Linked DNA regions of Tamandua tetradactyla. The protein of the gene in region 2 interacts with the protein of the main gene of each other region in a pairwise test. Links are inferred from orthologs where the notes say so. Each region holds a gene or a part of one and is shown on either strand. Other genes may lie near its edges. The genes, in order: SPP1 and UBQLN4.

Region 1 (10,814 bases), on a different chromosome or scaffold from region 2:
AAGTCAATGCTTGTTTGCTGAATGAATGAATACACAGACTCTAGTTTCCTGGAACTTGAGATCTCGCCAGAACCATCCAATGCATCTATTAAGGGATTTACCTGGTTTTTATGTCTGTAGAGGTTTTTAGATTTTGAGTTCAGCCCATAAGCCACATTATCACCTCGGCCATCATAAACGTCTCTTGTGGGGAAAACTGGAGTTGTTGGGACTTCAGTAGGAAGATCAGTGACTCTCTCATCAGATTCATCAGATTCATCAGAATGGTGAGACTCGTTGGAATGGTCCGGGTCCTCCGTGGGGTCAGCTTCATTCGAGTCGTCTGAGTCGGTGGAGTCCCGGCTGTCCGTGTGGTCTCTATCATCGCTGCCATCTTCCTCGTCTGTGTGGTCCTGGCTTTCATTGGACGCACTTGGGAGGGTCTAAACGTCAAGATGGCCAGAAAAATTAGTGCATAGCTTTTCATTTTCCCTTGGCTTTCACACTGCATTAGTCTTTTACTCTTGTTCTTTCAGTTAGTTTCAAAATGCCTGCCTTTACGATAAGTCACTCAATGGCTTTTAAGAGCTAAAGTGACCATCCTACAATTTATTTTTTAACGTCACCCAGAAGGATAAATGGAATAATATTCTGAAGTATTTTCCTTGCTTTTCCATCAATAAATTATTTTTAAAAATATCAAGGGAAACAAATTGAGTATAGCGTTCATATTGATAATACTCTTTTTCCTTGTACATGCTAGACATTATTTAATTGACCAAATTCAATAATGCAGTAGATAAAATACATAATTGTGAAGGTGATTTTTCTCTTTGAAATGTTGGGAATTCTCAGACTATCGGAGCATCCATATTTTAATATATGTACCCAAACCTAAAATCTTTCTCTATTTGCATGGATAATCAAAAGCAAACTCTATTATGAATATATGTATAAATTACATCTCAATTCTGTTACTTGAATCAACCAGTTAATGTTTATTGAACTCCAAATTGGCAATATGCTGGATTGTTGAACTTTCCTAATTAGGGATTCTTTGCCTATTCAAATAGAATTTTAATGAAAGCAAATTTAATTTATTTCTTTGCTCAGCAAATATATTAACCATCTTAATGAAAAGAATAGTAATCAAATAAACCATTATATTTGGAACAGACACATTCTTTAAGGCAAAATCTTGGCTTTGGTAACTATTGTTTAGATGCCTAACAGATATTAGATAAGACATCTACAAAACACCTTTAATAAATTTTGTGGCTTAATATTTCAAATAACGAGCATGAGTAAATACTTCCTGCAAAATTAAATGTACATGCAGAAACCTGGCATTCCTGACATTTAGTAAATACATATTTTCTTCCTGAGCAAGTTTTAGACAGGCAATTTGCTGGAGAATTTGCAAATGGAATCTCAACAGAAGAAAATGAAGACAATGTCATTAGAAGAAAGAACGGCTTCTATCATCTCTCCAAGGCATGGTAGACCCCCTATTGACAAGGAGAACTCACCTCTTGTTTAAAGTTGTCAGTTTCTTCAGAGGATATGGCTTGCTGAGCAGGAAAGACAAGAGGGCAGATATTAGTATACATCACACACGTTTAAATTATTGATTCAAAAGTTAGCTTTTCAATTCAACTCAAGTCTTATTTTTCAGGCTGATTGGTGAATGGCTTTCAGTTGGAAAGAGCCAACATGGTGGATCAATCTGTCATAAGCACAGGGATGAAATAATGGACTCATTTACTCAGTCCAAATCGTCTGTTTGGTAGCTATAGTTTTGCTTAATTGCAGGAAGTTTAAAAATACCTGCAGTGCTAAGAGAGTCTGCTTCTGAGATGGGTCAGGCTTTAGCCATGTGGCCATAGGATCTGGGTTTTTGTTGTAAAGCTAAAAAAAAAAAAAATAGAATATCTGTCAATATTTAAGAAAGATATAGGTATTTTTAACTGATAAGCTATAAACATAACTATGCTTTACCAATCTTGGATGGATAAACAATATGCATGCATATAATCAATCAGAATCTTAGGTAACCCTTTTATAATTGATTTTTTTCTTGCAGATTCATTTGACCAACTTTTATACGGCATTTACTATGAAACAGACACTCTTTCAAAGTGCTTTACAAATATTACTTCATTTAATCCTTTCAACTCACTATGATTCAGACATCATTTTTTTCCCCCTCATTTTACAGATCAGGAAACTTAACCATAATGAGGCCAAGTGGTAGTAAGTAGCTGAGGCTGGGTTTAAACCCAGGCAAACTGGCTCTTAACACTGTGCTTTTCCATTCTATGTTTGCTAGCTGAGTTCTCTGCATAGATAAAGCACAGCTAGAGCAGAAATGCTCTTAATTAATGTTGATCATCATTGATTCCTCTTCATAGAACAAGGAGAAATCTTTAAGGTTTTGCTTTTTAATATGGTATCCACTAGCTGCATGTGGCTATTCAAATTTAAATTAATAAAAATTAAATATCCAGTTCATCAGTTGCACCAGTCACAATTTTCAGTACTCAGTAGCTACATGTCTAGTAGCTATCTTTTATCTGACAGTGCAGATATAGAAAAGTGAAATTACAGAAAATTCTATTTTTCTAAGTTGCCAAAGATGTAAATCAAATAACATTTTCTTTAGCCAAATTATTTATCTGGAACACAATTGTAATATGGTAGTGAAGAGGAGTGGGAATTGTTATGAGTAAGTGTCATCTGATAGGCTGTATCACCCAGAGCAGATTGTTTCATATCATTTGAGAATAACAGCCTTGGGGGTCCCGCAGAGTCCCTTTATCAGACACTTGAGGGAATATGTATGGGAAAGGCACCAATCAATGGCATTTTGGTTTTCTGATATGACTGGCTCCAATTAATAGATGTGCAAACCACTGGAGTAGATGAGCTCAGAGTTTCCCTTTATATTTTTTATTTTTTTTGATGACTCAAGCTCAGAGATGATACATACTCAGAGAGAAGGTATTTATAAATTACATTTATAATTTTTAAAAAGTAATACAAAAGCAAAATGGACTGACCAACCCAGTAATCATTTTTATCTTTACCTTGTAAAGTATAAGTATATCCTTATAGATTTCTCCATAATTCCTATTAGTTCTAAATTTCTGGAATTCTGAAAGGTTGAGACGAGCTTATTCAATTATTTTCTAAATATTATTTAGTAACTTATACTGTCATGTTTTTATGTACCTTTTAAAAATACATCCTTGCCATATTTTATTCTATTAAAAAGGCACTAATTCTTGCAGCAAATAATACGACCTCATCTTCTCTGGAAATGCTATTTTTTTCCTGGTTTATTATTGCGAGTCAACACTTGTCTTCTCAAATCAATCGGAAAACAGACACACACATGCACCCATGCTCAGCACAAACGCAGGTGCACATGCAGACACACAGCAATGCTTCTCTGAATATCTTTACCAAGTAATTTAATTGCAGTGATCCCAGGCAACTCTGTACTGGCCTTTATTCTGTTCTTCTGGAAGTGTACTTTGTGTGGCTTTTTGTCTAAACTCTTGGGACAATGCCTGTTTGTTGTTTGGCTGGCACAGTTTCACATATTGCAGAGGGGCAGGTACATCTAGGGTGCTGGTCAAATCAGTATAATAGAGAATTTGATTTGGTCTTGTGTTTGACTAGGAAAATGTGATCCAAAGTCAGCTGGCAAGCACCACTGATACCAACAGCATAAAACAGACTTTCTTTTGACAATGGGCTTCTTAGCAAATATCTTAGGAGATATTGTGAGCACTATGGCCTTACAACAAGTCTTGACCAATATCTGAGAAGAATTTTTAATTTAGCCTTCCACTAAGTAATGCAAAGAATGGAATTTTCTCCTTCTAGAACATTATGTTGACTCGTGGGAAGAAAACAGTCATGCAATTTCATGGAACTCATTTTACAGAAGTGATAATGGCCGTAGAACATTTTTTTGCTACATTGAAAATTTAGTTTGGTTTTAAGATCATACATTTATTAAAAATTATAAATGTACTAATTAAAAATTAGTACTGCTCTAGATTCATAGCAAGCAGGCAATAAATACTTAACAAATTAACAGTCTTGATTTTGATAATAAGTAAAATTGGAACAAATATGTTTATAAAACCTCTTACAGTAATTGCATAGATAAACTAAATGATAAACTTAAAAGGTACGTACATATTTTTCCTCAGAGCTGACAGAATCAACCTTGTGTTTGACCTTGAAACAGAAATAAAAAGAAGAACGATGAGGATGATAAAATGTTTCTAGCACATGGAACTGCATAATTCTTTCATTTTCAAGAATTTCCTTCAGATTGAGCTATACTCACTGGAAGGGCATAGGTGATGCCTAGGAGGCAAAAGCAAATCACTGCAATTCTCATGGTGGTGATTTTTCCTGCAAAATATTTTGTGAGGAGCATATGACATCTTTGTAGGTTAAATCAATGATACTTATTTATGCTATCACATTTCAAAATAATCACTTCTTAGCAAAACCGTTTCTTTTTAATGCTATGGCATTTTGAGTTAATATTTATAATGTTACCTCTCTTCTCCATCTCTCACTATTCAGCAAGGGAGAGAGGGATTTCACAAGTTTATATTCACTTAACTTTTAAATTGAGAATTCCAAAGATTGTACCAGTTTTCCAGCATGCATTTCAAATGTAGTTTTTAACTTAAATTGCTGAAAAGGTGCTATTTAGGTGAACTGAACTTATCTTTAAAGTTAGTTACTTAAGTAGGACATTCTAGAAATTTGAAATTAAAAAGAAAACATTGAGAACAGTCAACAGCTTTTCTATTTCGTAATAATGAGTCTCCATAGTATCATATAAGTGTCTTTGTGAAAAATTAACAGGAAAATACAGATGTAAAACATTCAGAAAGGCACTCTTCCCCTTGAAATTGGACTAAATGAAATAATAAAATTAGTATTAAATTGTGTGACATTAGTACTAAATGTCCTTTTCCTTTTAAATGCTTCTACAACCATCTATCCATTAAAATGATACAGGTATAATAATTCCAAAGGGCACAGAATTTAGCTTCTTGGGGTTTGTTTTCCTATTTGAAGCAGAGGTTTCAGTTCTTTCTGAGGACCTGGTAGAAGTATTTTTGTTTTATTTTTGACCGGTTTTCAAAAATAGTTGGTCACCTTTCCTCCAGGAGATCTGCACTGTATCGGGCATACTTATTCCAATGACTAGAATAATTTGTCTGTCTTGCAGCAGCCTGATTAAACTATTTTCCTTGCTACTTGAATTTCCCCCATGCAATTAAACAGAATGTTTTACAGTACTGCAAAGTGATGCAGCCTGCAGGCTTACCTCGGTGGGTGTCTGGCTGAGAAGGCTGCAACGCGTCAGAGAAGAGTTCAGTCTGGATGAGTCTGTGCTCTCCTGCCTCCTCTGTCTGCTGCTGACGACCAGAACCTCCCCGAATTTAAATGCTGCTCCAGACATTCTCCACCAGCTCAGGGAGGCGGAGAGATGTGTCATGAGGTTTTTTTGCCACTGCCCAGCCCACAAGCTCCCACACTTCCCTTCTGGTTTTGTGGCTTAACAAAACAAAACAAACAAGAAACAAGCACAGATTCCTCTACAGTTAAAATGTTACTTATGAACAATATCATTAACCAGCTTTTTCATTTCTGAGGTTGGCATTAATCATTATGGAAGTACACGTAGGGGATCCCATAAAAAGGGGTGAGGGAGTAACCATCATCAAGATTTTACGCATAGTTTCTGAATTAATAGAAAAATATTAATATATATCAACCTTAAATGAAATGAAATAGTATGTATTTTTTTGTTTCTTTCCGTTTAAGTAACAGCCAAATTTGTCTCCATGATTAGACATACTGAAGAGCTGAAAAGATATTGCTGTACAGCATATGAAGAGTTCAGTTAGCCTCCCTCCATACTAAACTACTAAAGCTTAGTTTTGTATTCAAAGATGCAGCAGCTCATTGACTTAGACAAATGGCATTAGTGATATTAAAAATTTATGTTCATGCCCGTTAAGTCGGATTTACAGTCATGTTTCAAGGACACAGATTTTTGTTGCACTGATGAGGATGCGTGAGCTGTTAGGAGGTGATGAATCTGATAACTTGCTATATATAAAATAGAAGAATCATTATTTACTCTAGATGTTGCTGTAGTAAAGCAGTTTAAGACTGAAAACAGGGTGAATGCTTGAAGAGGGCTGGTTCAGGAGCAAGGGAGTGGGCTTTGAATCCCGTCCTGCCTCTAGTTAGCTGTGGAGGAATCTTGGGCAAAATACTTGACCTACCTTTGCCTGTCTCCTCATCTGTAAAATGGACATACTATTACTTAGCTTATAAGGATTTTGAGAAGCTTAAATGATTGAAAAATTAAAAGTATCAATGCCAGACAGAAATTATATGCAAGTGCTTGGCACGTATATGCAAATGTGTGGTTTATATTAAGCCCTGTGTGAGTGTTAACTATTACTGTAATTTTTAGAAAAGAGTTAGTCATGATTTGTAATATCTTTAGATGGAGTAGATTATTAGAAGTTTGTTATTAGTTATTAGGTCTTTAAGTTGTGTCTGGAAATAGGGTAATTTGCCCACCACTGAAAGGTTGATTAGATTTCTATATCATCTTTTTATATATGCATCTATGGTTGGTTGCTTAGAAAAGGAAAAAAAAACCCAAATATCTCTATACTTAAAAAGTTTTACTGGATACGTAAAGGTATTTAAAGAAAATTACAGATGATGCTTGAATAATGGAGCAGAAATCAGGGATAGTAGAGCTCTGAGCTCGTTTTAAATATTTCATATTGTCTTGACATTAACTTAATCTTTTTACCTACCTTTCCCAGTTGTGAAATTTGTTTTTACTATTCATTTACCTCACACTTTCATTGTAATCATTGCAGATGAAAGTGAGATTAAAAGATAAATGGTGCTATTTATTATAAGTTCTTAAGTGTCAGCTCCTATTTGCCAAATATTGCTTTTAAAATAAATCTAGATTTAAACAATTTCCTGCTATGTTAGTAAAAACAGTAACTAGATTTTATGAACATTTCATGAGGGAAACTGGGTCTCTTTTAAATTGGATGTATTCAAAATGAATTGGTATTGTTGATTTGTGGGTTATATGCGCACATTTTAATAATTCAGATTGTGCCTCTCTGAAATATAAACGCACATGGATATAAAATTGCAAAACAGTTGCCTTGTTTCTGTCTTCAACAACTTTTTTTCTTAAACACATTACCCACGGGATGTTTGTCATGTTGTCAGTTTAGCGGGGGCAAGTCCACAGATTCTAAAAACAACTAGCTGTCCCCACAGGACTCACTATAGTTTATTTTGTGCCCACGGGAATGATTTAATATGAACTTAGGGAGTTGAGTTATAGGAATAGATTTTGTTGGAACTCAACCATCTTGAGATGAACCATATGACCCTTTCCAGGACTTTTCTGGTCATAATGGCTCCAACGTGCCACACGATGGCAGTGTTTCGGAAAAGAATCTCAGACCACAATCTGGCTCTATCAGTTTTCTTATTCCGGCAGAATAGAACATCCACTACTATTTAAGACAAAACTATAAAACAGCTGTGAGTCCTCCCTTTCTTGAATGCCAGGTGAGGAAATATTTCCCAACAATGACCCACCATGCGGTAACTGGGAATACAGCGACCAAGAAAACCAAAACATTTTTGTTCTGCTCTGGTCTTGCCTTCAGCAACTCCAGGTTGATGCTGTTGTCTCCTTTCCCACTTCCCACATTCACTCAAAACGTTATTCTCACTCAGAATAAAGCCTTATGAATGCATGTTTAAAGAATACGTCTGGGATGCTGCAGAGTTGAAAAGGCTCTTCTGTAAAGTATTAAATGGATACTTGTGTCATTCTGACTGCAAGAGGCTCATGTTTCTTGGGTTTTGTAATCAAACCTGCTGACACTTAGTCTTTTGTGAGTAAGATTTTCCAACTGTCAGAATTAACACATTAAATGAACTAAGTCAGAGACACTTGCTCTGTAGTATTTCCACACTATTTCCATACTTGATTAGACTAGTGGTTGTTAGAATCGAAAGGTCAAAATGCCTGAATTCCTTGTAAATCTTTTGCTACGTGGAAAGGAAAAAGTTTTCTTGTTACACCAGAATGCAAAGAGTGGTTCATTATCTTAAAATATTAAGGGGATACATGGAAACATATAAACAACATTATATATTTTTTCCTCATTACATGAAGATTCCCATTTTAATAGGAAACATTAAGTACCTAGATGTCCATTTTAGGTGGATAACTTTACTGGCTTCAAACTTACTTTGACTAGCCTAATTACACTTTATGTAGTAAGGTATTGCCATCTATTTCAATTTTTTCAGCTCTGCAAATAATTATTTTTTTGCCCTGAATGTTCAGATTCAGACAATGAATCTAATTCAAATGCTTATCTTGAGAACATCACTAATCTGTCCTAGCAAACTTGGGAATTAGAACTAAGTATAATCAGAAGTCCAGCACAATATTCATCATTTGTAGTCTTGGTAAGGATGAATTAGGTTCTGGCATGAAATTTGAATATTTCAGTAATTACAAATAAAAAAGACACACCATAATGCCCTTTATCCTGTGGCTCAATGACCTAGACAACAAAATCTAGCTCCTGAAAAGCAGGGTTTTGGTAAACATTAGTTTTACTTAAAGCAAATTATAACATTTTCTCTTTGGATCCATGGAATTGTTATAGAGTAAATTTTACACTCAGTATATTATCAGTGATTAAGCACTCAGCCCTTCATCCATAAGAACTAATTCTTGTATGGGCACTGTGATTGAATCCATAGTATATATATATCTCATATGCTGATGTTTAATATTTACCAGTGCTCAAGAATCTTGTAGAATTTCTTTATTAAATTATTACCACCATCTCTGCGGGCATTCCACACTCTTTAATTTATAGACTCTTAGAGTGGATATAGATCATTAACTATTTTCTTTTCTTAAAATGGCACCATCCTTAGCCCAATGGAGCCCATTTATTCAGGAAAACTAACTAAAGAATATGATCCCATGCAACTACTGAGGTTAGGAGGTGTGATTAAACAATAAATTCAGGGAGGCTATGGACAGAGAAGGCAGATGGTAGAGGCCCTATGCCTACATTGGGGTTGAGGAGATGTGTCTTCTGGGATTGAGCACAAACAGAAAAACTCTGTTCCCACCTAACATCAATTACATTGGCATAGAATTTTGGCACAGAATCCCTGCAGCAACACGGGGAACAATAGGAGTCTGTAATAAAAAGGACCCAGAGAGGGAGGTAGAAAGCTGCAGAGGTACAAATAAAAGTCTAGCAGCTGTAGGACTGTGTGGGTGCAGATATGTGTATTTCTCAGCAATAAGCAATCAGCAATAGGCATTTTGCAGATCGTATTTGAGAGGAGACAAGCCTTCTTTGAATTCCATTTATGAGAATTCTTATTGAAAATATGGTAGTGAAGTAGTTTTCAGAAGAAGATAAGAATCCATCACAATATAAGGTTAGTATGAAAAAGTGACCATTTTCTTGCAGAACAGAAGATGGAAATCAGAGGAAAGTGGACAAGAACTGGAAACAAAGCAGCAAATAATTCCAATATTTTTATAGCCACACTGGCTGAAGTTTTTTTTTAAATTTATTTATTTACTAATTAAAAAAAACTTAACAACAAATGAACTGAAACATTAACATGCAATCATTCTGTTCTACATATATAATCTTTTTTTTTTTTTTTTACATGGGCAGGCATCGGGAATCGAACCCGAGTCCTCGGGCATGGCAGGCAAGCACTCTTACCTGTTGAGCCACCGTGGCCTGCCCTACATATATAATCTTTAAAGCTAATTTTGTTTCAACTTTTTGCCTCCCTTTGAATGCTGTTGTTTGTTTTTCACATGGGGAGGCACCGGGAAATGAACTCGGGTCTCCAGCATGGCAGGCAAGAACTCTGCCTCTGAGCCACCGTGACCCACCTGGTTGAAGTTTTTTTGTCTTGTTTTGTTAATTCTTATTAAGAAATAACTAGCATCAGTGTCCCTATTTTATGATATATTATTTATGTTTTAAAAATATTATTTAAAATAACTTTCATTTAAAGTTTGATTCCTTCTTTAAAGTTTGATTTCCTCAAAAGTGAAAGTTCTATGATATGCTCATCTCTCTGCAGTTGATGTGCTAACAAATATTTATTCAATGAATTAATAAATCTATTATAAACTGTATATAAATTCTCATGTAAAATGCATCCTGACTATGAACTAGCGTGGCACCTATGACGCTTTATTGCCCTTAAGTGTCTGTCTCCTCACACTAAGAAGGAAACTTCCTCCCAGTAGGAACTGGGTCTTATTCAGGTTTCTAGCCACAGTTTTCTTCTGGGCATTTACTCTATGTTTGGGGAAAGCATTAGCAATGCTTAATCCTCCGTGTGCTATCTGTGATACTTGCATTCAGTATGAACCGCAAGGAGCGGCAGCTACATACTGCTCAGTTCTTAGAATCATTTTATATACACGTTTTTAAATGCCATTGCAGAATTGGAAGAGCCAGGCTGTTCTCTACTTCCTGCCTCCCTTCTTTTTATGGAGTTTTGGGAAGTTCCTTAACTTGTCCGGGGTCCAGGTTATTCACCAGAGCTAATTTGAGTTATTTTTAAGGTCAACTTCAGCTCTAAAATTCTGTGGTTTTATGTTTCTCCTAAAAATTGATGAGTAATAAAAATATTGACATTACAACAGAAAAGCAAGCAGTTGTAGA
Region 2 (11,064 bases):
GGATATTTTGGTTGGCTTTTTTCTAACAGGGGAAAAATCTTGTGATGATCCAAGACAAGGTAAGGGCAGCAGTTTTCCCCCTGAGGCTCACGGGTTCCACAGAAGTATGAGGAGGAAACTGAGTTAAGAGGCAACCATTGAGAGGGGAGGAGGCAGAAGAGAAAATTCCTACTAAATATGGGCACTGGGCTAAGTACTTTACAGGATTTAAGTCATTTAATCCCCACAATAACTCTTCCAGGTAGGTATTTCTGTTACTATTTTGCAGATGAGAAAACAGGCTCAGAGATGTTATCTGGCTTTCTGCCTGGGGACACACAGCCAGTTCAGTGGTGGAACCAGGTTTCAAGGCCAGGAAGGTTTGTCTGACCAAGACCACACTGTGACTCATAGTAAATGACCACAAATTAGGGAGGGAAAGGATTCAAGTTGCAACAATGCTACCAACACCCTCTAATCCCTGCCCCCAGGTCTTTGGCCTGATTGCACTTTGAGAAACACAGAGGGTGGGGGCAATGGCTCACTCTCAATAAAGGGTGTTTTATGTTAACCCCAAGGAAAAACAGTACCTGAGAAAATAAACATGGCTTCTTCTTGTTCCCATCCAGCTTAGACTACCTTCTCTCTCCACCCATCTTTCTTTCCTTCCCAGTCCCGCTCTACACTCAGCTCTTCTAAGATGCCTTTATGGACTGATACACCTAGGCTCACGGGCTCTGATGTCTTGTTCCAGTGCTCAATTATTCATTCAGAAAATATTTACTGAGTCCTACTAAGTACCAGGCACTGTACTAGACAGTGAACAAAGCAAACACTCAAAAATGTCACGCAAAAAAAAATTCAGGAGTGCAAAGGTGGTAGAATTCTCGCCTGCCACTTGGGAGACCCGGGTTCAATTCCCGATCCATGCACTTCCCAAAAAACAACAAACAAGCAAAACAAAGAAAAAACAACTAAACAAACAAAAATTCAACAAAATGGTGCTGCAATAACGGGATACTCAAACGGAAAAAGAATGAAATGTGACCCCCACCATACAGCACACAGAAAAAAAAAAGTCACTTATCTTCTAGTGAGGTCAACACTGGTGCCCACAGCTTCACTGGGAAAACTCTCTCCTTATCCCCTGTCGGCCTGAGTAGGCCAGTAGATGAAGTTCCTAAAACCTCCTCCTCCAGGTCTCTCTTCTCCACAGGGCCATGATGATTCCCAAACATCCTACTCTCTTTTACTTTCAGACCTTTGCACTTGCTGTCCCTCAGCCCTGAATATTATTCCTTTTCTTCCCCTGACTGATTCTTCCTCTTCCTTTGGGTCTTAGCTCAGATGATACTTCCTCTAGGAGGTCTCCTCTGAGCTCCAGGATAGGGTGAGGAGCCCTTCTCTGTGCTCTGAGGGGATCCTGAACTGTACCTATGGGTAACACCAACCACACTGAAATACCTGTTTACCTATCCCACTTCCCTTTGAGACCAGGAACTTCTGCAAAGCTAGGCCTGTGTATTTTCATCACTGTACACCAGGGTTTAAAATATGGCTGCCGAATTAATGAATGAATGAATCAGTCAATCAGGCAGTGTAGGACAAGGCAGGAATAGGCTAGGTAGGGAATGCCTGGGCTCTAGGTATCCCCCTTCAACCCAACCTTCTCCCATACCCACCTGCCTCATGAGCTCAGGGTTGTTGAGCATGTGGCTAATCTCGGGGTTCCGCTCCATCAGCTGTTGCATCTGAGGGTTGGCCATGATCATGTGACGCATCAGGTCAGGGTTAGACATCATGTCCTGGACCAAAGGGTTCTCCATGATCTGCGACAGCATCTCAGGATTGGACATCAGCTGTCTCTGCATCTGTTGCTGCAGCTCCATGAAGTTGGCAGAGCCTAGGCCCAGGCTGCCCAGCCCCAGGATGCCCCCAAAACCAGCTGTGGGGAGGGGGCAGGGTCACCATCTGCCACGATAGCCCTTCCCTAACCTGGTCTCCAGAATGGGCCCCATCTGTCTCTGCCTCTCATATCTCCCTTTTCCACTTACTCCCATAGTCCCAGCCGTGATCCACGGCTGGCAAGATGTCAGTTTACTAGCCAAGACCTCTTTGATGGTAGAAGCTTAGATTACCCCGAGCTGAGCACAGTACCTAGCTCACCGTGGGCAACCACTGGCGGCTTGTTGAATGAACAAATAAATATTCTCTAGCTAACCCCAGCCAGGTCCACCACTTTCCCAAACTCACGGGGTCTTCCAAAATCCTGACCTGGGTTTTCCACATCCCCAGCCCCATTTCTCCCCTTACTGCTAACACTCAGCCATGTTCCCCTCCTTCAGGAAGCCCTCGCACACTGGTCTTGGCTGAATACCAGGGTCTGGAACCCTATGTCCAGAAGCCCCCCGCCCTCACCAGACCACCAGACCAGAGCAGGGACCATCCTTCTGCCTGCTCTTGGCTTTCCCTCACTCCCCAGACCAAGTAGGACTGTGTTCTCCTTTCTAGGGGCTTACAGAGTATGGAGGCGGGAGCACTGGGGGGTCCCTCCCCAGCCCCTGGGGAGGGACCGCCCCCACTGCTCCTTCGGCTTCCACTGCCAGTATCTGAAGTGGTGCTGCCAGAGGTAGAGGGCTGGGCAGGGGTGGCGGGCGAAGCAGGTGTCGTGGAAGGTGCAGAGGCAGGGTCTGGAGTGGAGGGGGAAGAAGCAGTCGTAGCAGCCGGATCTTGAGCCCTGGGGACAGAGAAAGGAGACTCTTAGGTGGGTGGAGTGGGCACACAGAGAAGCCACTGCTCTGATTCAAGCTACCTGCTGAGGGCCCCTGAGGCAGCAGCAGGGGAAGGGGTGGTCAGTAAACCAGGGAGAGGGAGGAAGGAGCTAGTCTTATCTGTCTTCAGGGCATTGTGGGAGGAGTAAGTCAATTTCCCTTCTCCTAGAGGTGATATCATAGTGCTGCCAGGCAGGACATCCTTGACACAGGCCGTCCAGGTCCAGCTGAGCCATGGGTGAGAAAATGTTAGACGGGGAAGGGAAAGGAGGGCCTAGTCAGAGGCTGGGCCTGCTCATCTTCTGAACTTACTTCTGAGGAGTCTTGATGACCAGGTGCACAGTGAGTCCATCCTTGATTCCATGCTGGTTCAGTGTGTCCCCATCCTTGAGGATCTTTCCGGCAAAGATCAGGACGAGCTGGTCCTGCTGGGCCTTAAATCTCCGAGAGATTTCCTCTTTGAACTGTGACCAAGAGGCAGAGGTCACTGAGGAGGCTGCCAGCCCAGACCCACCAGGGACCCTGCCCCTCTCCAAGAGCCTCTGGCATACCCTTGCTCCCACTCTAGTCACGGGAATTTCTTTCTGCAGTCTCTTCTCCACCCCTCCAGTTGCAATAAGCAGCTCCTTTCTTAACCAAGATGGACCAGTGAGAGGCTCCTCTCTCAGCTATATTCCAAGGTCTTCCACCCCAAAAGCCCTTGCTCTGACATCCTACCTTCAATCCCTTCACCCAACCCCCTATGAGGGTGCTAAATGGGCAGCCCTCTCCATCCCAACTCCTTCAACAGTTTTAGACCCAGGCCCCGTCTCCCTTCAGCCTTCTCTTCTCAGACTCCAACTTTCTATCTTTCTTTATTCCCAGCTTCTGCTTCAGCCATCTTTGAACTACAACAACAAATAGCCCTTGATATTCATCAGTTAACAGTCTAAATCCTGGGAGATATTATCTCCACTAGAAAGTTGAGAAAATTAAGGATCAGAGAGATTAGGCAATTTACTCTGCTCAGAATGGGACTCAGGCCTTGACACCCAAGCCCACGCTTGCAACGGCCTGGACACACTGCTTCTCAATTAAAACTGATTTAAATTTCAGCTTCGCAGAGGAAAGAATTTAAATTCTGGAATAGAGTCATTTTATAAAGTTGGGGGGCAGGGATGGCACCGAGGGCTAGCTTGGGGAGAGTTAGACTCCCCAACTATCAGCACACTCCCAACAAAAAATAACAATCATTCTGAGGAAAAACAGTGCACTTGCTAAGCAAAGGCAGCTTCCAGAAGCCCTCCCTTCCAACCAGATGGCCTATCTTAAGCCCCGCCTATGTGAAATTTTGGAGCAGCCACTGGGGGTGAGAAACAGAGGCAATATTCCCTCATTCACTTATTCAACAAATTTTTATTGAGCACCTACTGCACACTGCACAAACCCTAGAGGAGCTGACCACCAAAGGAAACCACTTCAATTTGAAAGAATCTGGGCAGAGGAAAATCCGCCCCCTACTACCCCAGGTTTTCTCCTAAAACGGTGGGCCTCCTCTGAGGCATAGAGTAGGCACCCGGTGCTCTCCTGCGTCCGTTCTCTTGTTTCAGCACCTTGCCTGGACTCCCTACTCTGCCATAGCGCCTCGAACCCCGACCAGTAACCCAGGGTTCTTCTCCCGTCTCTGTGCAAGTGCAGAGTGCTCTCTGTGCAAGGGGGCCCCCTCCTCACCCTCCACCACGCCCCCAGTCCTGGCCCCACGGCAAACCCCGTCCCCCCCAGCACACGCCATGCTCCCCGGATTTACCCTCGTAGGGCGCTCCCTACCAGCATCTCCTTCCCCACCGTTCCTCGGGGTTCCGGCTGGACCCTCGCCTTCCTGTCCGGGATCTTCCCGGACTCCCCGACCGTCCCTCAGGACCGCCCCCCCCCCCCCATCTCTCCGCAGACCCTTCCACGGCGCGCGGTCCCCGCCACCCATACTACCTCCTTGACCGAGGCTCGATCGCAGATCACAATTTCCTCCTTGTCCTTCGGGGTCTTGACGGTGACCCGAATGGGGGGCCTCGTCTCAACCCCGCTCGGCTCCGCCATGCCGCCGCCGCCGCCACCCGGCCGCCCGCCAGCCCGTCCGGGCCCCTCCTCCTCCTTCTCCACCTCCTCCTCCTCCTCCTCCTCCCCGCTAGCCCGGCCCGCCCGGCTCGGCTCGGGTGCCTCCAACACTCCCCTCTCCCCGCCTCTCCTCAAGGCTTCGCCACCCGCTCCGGACCTGCCGCAGCCACAGCGCCCCGGGCGGCCCGGGGGGGCCACTGCACCGGGTCCGCCCAGGGCCGAGCCCTGCGCCCGGGAGCCGGCTCTGGGGCTCGCCGGGCGGCGGTGGGGGGAGGGGCGCTGGGCGGGGGCGGGGGGCGTGCCCCTTGCCGCGGGGGCCCCGCCCCAGCCTCCCGGAGCCGCTGGGAGGTCCAGTCCTTCCCAAAGCTGCCCCCGCCCCCTCCGCGGGTCACTCCCGCGCCGGGACAAAGGACCTTCTGTGTCGCCGCTTTATCTCTGCTCCGTGAGATAACTTGGTCCTTCTCGGGAGGCCCAGTTCTCTCCAAAGGCTGGGCCTTCTCCCTCCTGACGTGAAGGCTGAATTTTCCCACCTCGGGACGTCCACCTAGGACCTCATCTCTACAACTGTCCCCATCCTCCCGAGGGATGGGGCCTTAATAAAGGACTGTTAAATATGGTTCCCGAGACCTGGGTTTGATCTGCGTGGCCTCGGTTTCCTCCTGTCTTTCTGAGCCTCGGTTTCCTCAAGATAATAGTACCTATCGCCTCATCCAAAAGAATTGTGTATAACACAGGACATTGCTTTGAAAAGTAACCAAAGGTGTACTTCATAACTACAAGGTTTTTCAAATTATTGAACCGTGGTTTGCCAAGCGGACGTGACGACTTCTCCCCGAAGGAGTTAAACCTCCTTGTAGGACTTCTGTCCTTTTACTCCCGCTCTTTTCCCCCATAACCGCGTGGTCTGACTGGAAAGGCAAACTATAGTTCCCAGGGTGCCCCGCGACCGCACAGGAACTACAACTCCCAGAGGCCTCCGCGGCGGCGGGGGTATTGAGTCAGACCCGCAATAGGCCGGGAAACTACAACTCCCAGGGCGGTCGGGAGCAGGGCGGCTGGACTACCGGGAGTGGCCGGCGGAGGCCAGCAGGCGGCACCTCGGCGGATCTGTGTGCGAAAGTTCCGGGTTCGGAGTCGCAGGCATGCTGCGCCCCAAAGCTCTGACCCAGGTGCTAAGCCAAGCCAACACTGGAGGCGTCCAGAGCACCCTGTGAGTGCGGACCGAGGACCCGAGCGGCGCGCGCTGAAGCCCGAGTCGGGCGGCGGGCGGCTGTCTGAGGGAGGGTTGGGGAAGGACCGCCCGGAAGGGAGGAGGCGGCAGAGGGGGCAGAGGCCTGGGGAAACCGGCCGGGAGGGCCCCTCTCGGAAAGGGAAGCGGGGCGTGCTTGAATGTCCGGGGCACGGTCCCGAACACCCTCGGCCCGGACACTTGCTTCCAAGAAGCGCCGGTAGTGGGGTTGTGATGGGACCCCAGAGGTCCTACTCCCTGTCTTAAGCACACCGATATCCCTCCCCACCCCTCGCCAGGCTGCTGAATAACGAGGGATCGCTGCTGGCCTACTCGGGTTACGGGGACACGGATGCCCGGGTCACCGCGGCCATCGCCAGTAATATCTGGGCCGCGTACGACCGGAACGGGAACCAAGCGTTTAACGAAGACAATCTCAAATTCATTCTCATGGACTGCATGGTATGGAGAGAAGAGCCTAGCTTCTGTCCTCCAATGGGGATTCCCACGGGGTGACCCGGATTCCGCCCGGATAGTCAGAGGGGCAGGAACGGGAGCTCTGGACGAGTACTAAGAGCTGGTGTGCGACAGCACTTAGAGTAAGCAGGACCCATTGCATCAGGTGGTGTTGAGGAGGGAGCCCTGGACCCGAGGTCTGATTGAGGTTCTGGTCTCTGCCAGCTACTTATCAGTTGTGGGACCTTGGGCAAGTCACTTAAGTTCTGGGAGCTTCCTTACTTCTCTAAGTTGGAAACAATACTCCTTCCCCCCACCTTTCCTGTCTCACACAATTGTAGTGAAGTTCAAATGAAAGAATGGATATCAACCATACAGTGAGGTACAAACACAAGGTGCTGTCATCCCAGGTTCAAAACCTTAGAGCTGGCAAGGTCTCCAGGACCTAGTCAACTCCTTTTACAGACAAAAGAAATGAAATCCAGAAAAAGGAAATGGACATTCCACTGTGAACTGCGTGGAAATAGGAACTGTCTCACTCATGTCTGTACATTCAAGAAATATTTACTTGAATGTAAATATAGTTTTCTCCAAACTGAAGGGAAAGTAGTAAACAGGATAGACAAAAACCCCAGTCTTCGTGAAGCTTAAAGTCACATATTTTTTATAATAAGCTTGGTTAAAAAAAAAAAAAGTTTGGTCATGGAAATGCTATGTAGAAAAATTAAGTAGGGAAAAGAGATAGAGATTGTAGGGGGCATGTGTTAGAGTCTCACTAAAAAGTTTACAGTTGAGCAAAGATCTGAAGGAATTTGGGGAGTGAGTCATGTGGCTGTTGAGGGAAAGAACTTCTCTGACAGAGAGAGCAACAAGTGCAAAGGCCCTGAGGCAGAAAGGTGCTTGGTCAAGGAACAGCAAGGTTAGTGTGGTTGGAGTGGCATAAGCATGGGAAAGAGTAGTAGAAAATGAAGTCAGAGAAGCAGGGGTGTAACACCTGGTGCCCCGCACACAGTGGATACCTAATGAAGGTCTGCTGAACCAAACTGAATAGACCCCAAGGTTGAATTGCCCAAAAGATTCTCCATGGAGACTCGGCTGGCTGACTACCTCTTCCCCATCCCCTGTCCAACCAAAGAGGCCATTTCAGTTCAATAGATGACTCCTATATTGTGCCTAGACTAAAGCTGGTGCTATAGGGCAAAGGTTTTCAAATATTCGCGACTGCAACCTAGCCATAAGAAATGCATCCACTAAAACAAAAGTTTCATGAAACATGCAATGCACTTCATTTCTCTTCTTTTTTATTTTTAAATGCTGATCTACTTTCTAAATTAATTTAATCCTAGGTCAAACCTCAGTTTGAAAAACCTTGTCATGGAAAAAGAAGATAAACATAAATTGGGTTACTATTCCCAAGCCCCTCTCAGTATCTTTGGGTTGAGCCCATAATAATGTCATCCATTTGGACAGGCTGTTACAGATACAAAACTCATTCATGTGTGATGGTACCCACACCAGCTAGGATGAGACAGAAATTACAGAAAAAGAAACTGAGTTTCTGATAGATAAATGAGTTTCCCAGGGTAACTTGGAGGTGGCTGTGCTGAAATTGGAAGCTGGGCTCTGGACTCTAATGTCCAAGGCCATGGCCAGAGCACCCCCCCCCCCCCGCCCCCCACCCACCAGCTGAACCTTCTGTGCCTTAGGCATGGAGGGAAGATAGAGTCTGTCTGGGGCAAGAGGAGCCCTTGTGGGAGGAGAGGGACCAGGGTGCCAAGCAGAACATCACATCTCCCCCACCAGGAGGGCCGTGTGGCCATCACCCGAGTGGCCAACCTTCTGCTGTGTATGTATGCCAAGGAGACCGTGGGCTTCGGGATGCTCAAGGCCAAGGTGTGTATGTGCCTCGTTCTTCCATAACCCTGGGCACAGCCTTCAAGCTCCATCACCATGGCCACTCCCAGCCCCACTACCTTACCCTTCTCACATCCACCCAGTGCATGCCTGGTGTGGGCTAATTCCTATGAGCGGGCTGAGGCTGGTGATCTGTGCATATGGCATTGGGGGTAGACCCTGGATTCAGGATCCCTCTACCAGCAAGCCAGTGTGGGACTAATTTCTGTTCTCCGCCTTGCAGGCCCAGGCCTTGGTGCAATACCTGGAGGAGCCCCTCACCCAAGTAGCGGCATCCTAATGGCCACAGACAGAAGCTGGGGTCACAAAGGAGAGATGACCATTTGGGGGGGCAGGGCCCCTGGGAAAACCTTCCTGAACTGGGGGAGGAGAGGAGAGGTTTTTTTTTTGTTTTTTCCAAGAATAAACTTCAATTCCTCTCTTGTGTATTGCTACTTTCTTGGGTCTGAGGAATTGAAGAGGTGGGAAGGAATCCAGGAATCCAGTGATCCAGGAATCACTGGATCACTGGTAGGAATCCTCAGTTCAGCAAGGATGGATTTCTACCCACTCGTTCCACAAACAAATGCATTTTGACTGTGGTCCCTTTGGCCTCTCCAGCAGAGTGGCCTCACCCAGCCGTGGCCACTCAAAGCAGAATAATATCCACCAGATTGTCAGGGTTCTGGTGGGGGTCACCTTGGATAAAGAGAATATAAGGCCCTGGAAACACAGCATCCTTCCTTGCAGGCTTTTGGGGGTGATTTCTACTCTTGGGGTTGGGAAGGTGACCCCTAGCCGCCTTCGAGGGGCCCAGCTCTCCCTCTTCTCCCAGGCATTCACATGCCAGCCAGACCCTTCCAAGTTCTTGAAGCAGACACCATAGCTTTGCTGTGAGGCCTCGCCACTGGGCAGGGAGTAGAAGAAACCCAGAGACAGGCCTCTGAGAGGCTTACATCTCCAGACCCTACCCCTATACTCAGACCCTTCACCCCATCTGGCAGTTTCTGCCCTTGGCCTCCCCTTCCCTGGTGTCCTTGGAGCAGATCAGCTCAAGGAACAACCAGTTCCTCTCCCCAGTGCCGTAGGAAGCAACCCATCCCAGGGAAGCAGGTCAGGCCTCCAGTCCCAGCCTCACCCAGGGTGAGAAATGCTGCCCAGCCCAGGCCTTGGGCTTTCAGGGAGGGGCAGATGTTGCTGTGACCAAGACGCAGCTCCCACAGCTCTGTCCCTCGTACGGGTATTCCATCAGCCCTAGCCCTGGCCCCAGCAGCCTGCCACTGTGCCCCCTGTCCACCCCACCAGAAGCTCTCTGCACCTTGCTTTGAAGGAAATACAGGAGGTCAAGTGGGTTTCTGCTCCCTGAGGGGTTCTTTCTAACTCACTAGTGGCCAGGCTACCACTTGCCACAGGGCCCAGGAGACCAGCAGTGAATGCTTAAGCTTCAGCCACCTCTCGGTAGGTCTTGTCTAGTGCCCACCTCCCCAACTACCAACCCTTGGAGCCTGCTCCCCTGCCTGCTGGAGCCCAGACTGAGAGCAGACACCCAACCTGTCTAACCTGTCTGACGTCATCGTTTCTCCACCCACTTGGGCCCCAGTTCTCCAGCTGCCTGCTCTTCCTGTTCTCTGCTTCCGTCCTCTCAGCCTCCTTACAGTACCCCCACCTGCCAGAACTGAGCCTCCCTAGGCCCTGCCTAGCTTTGAGTCTGCCCTCAATCCCTCTGGCTGCAAAACACTCCATACCCCCAATGAGAGGTGGGGCAGGTCCAGGACTCTTGAAATCCGAGGGTTGAGGGCACTGAGCCAACACACAGAGCAGTCACCTCTGCTTCCAAAGACACTCGCACCCTCCATGCGGAGCCAAAATGGGGACCGGAACCGAGGAGGATTATAACTTTGTCTTCAAGGGTGAGTTGGGGTCCATGGGGAGAGAGGAAGGCCAAGGAGATCCAGAAAAAGAGCAACTGAGGTGGACGGTCCTGGTATTATCTCTTACCAGGACCCCCCAGGGCTCATGATTCCCTCCGGATAAGAAAGCTGCAGGGCATGGGGCAGGAAAAATGTCTTGGAGCTGTTCTGTTATAAATAATGTTATTGATCATTCCTTAATATTGCCGAGTTCGGCTCCGCTACCCAGTTCTCAATGGAAACCCAAATCCCCGGAAATAGTCAGCTGCTGCAGCATAAGAGAGGAAGGTCAGACTTCAGAAAGGACTTCCCTTGTGGGACAAGAGGAAACAGGCAAACTTAAGAGGCAGAAAGTCACCATCCTGTACACCCCATTAGATGTGCAAGAAAGGAGAGATCTATTCCTTTACAGAACTGGGTAAATACACGGGGAAGATGTAACAAATTGGGAGCAGGGCCTGATAGGATCTGGAGGCCTCCTGAGCTTGTGGCCTTGTATGCTTGTGCCTTGGCAGATTCCTCGGGCCCAGATACCAGATATTGGGCTCAATCTGGCTCAACTTGGCTGTCCCTGAAAGTGTGTGTATCTTTCCTGCTTCTTTATCTGCCTCTGTGTCTGGCCCCTCTATTGCAGCGCCGCCCCCATCTCCCATCACCCCCACACCTCCTCCGGGAGGTGGCCGGGCTCTGATTCCCTGTCTAACCACCCCACCCCACTGCCACTCCTAGCCTCAGC

The links.
Region 1: the proteins of UBQLN4 (region 2) and SPP1 interact in a two-hybrid assay, tested with the Homo sapiens proteins (2 studies listed by BioGRID and IntAct). The link is inferred for Tamandua tetradactyla from reciprocal best matches to the Homo sapiens genes UBQLN4 and SPP1.

The regions. Positions count from the first base shown.
Region 1 is NC_135350.1:38,795,648-38,806,461, forward strand, and holds the start of SPP1 (osteopontin), read right to left. Parts: upstream 5,482-10,814; 5' UTR 5,345-5,481; intron 4,411-5,344; 5' UTR 4,397-4,410; coding exon 4,343-4,396; intron 4,231-4,342; coding exon 4,189-4,230; intron 1,888-4,188; coding exon 1,807-1,887; intron 1,551-1,806; coding exon 1,509-1,550; intron 423-1,508; coding exon 102-422; intron 1-101. UniProt on the Homo sapiens protein: Major non-collagenous bone protein that binds tightly to hydroxyapatite. Appears to form an integral part of the mineralized matrix. Probably important to cell-matrix interaction.
Region 2 is NC_135330.1:9,087,830-9,098,893, forward strand, and holds the start of UBQLN4 (ubiquilin-4), read right to left. Parts: upstream 4,881-11,064; 5' UTR 4,824-4,880; coding exon 4,716-4,823; intron 3,215-4,715; coding exon 3,063-3,214; intron 2,717-3,062; coding exon 2,499-2,716; intron 1,925-2,498; coding exon 1,662-1,924; intron 1-1,661. Other genes in the region: ragulator complex protein LAMTOR2, read left to right, coding at 5,984-6,051, 6,369-6,531, 8,329-8,418, 8,663-8,719; RAB25 (ras-related protein Rab-25), read left to right, coding at 10,286-10,328. UniProt on the Homo sapiens protein: Regulator of protein degradation that mediates the proteasomal targeting of misfolded, mislocalized or accumulated proteins.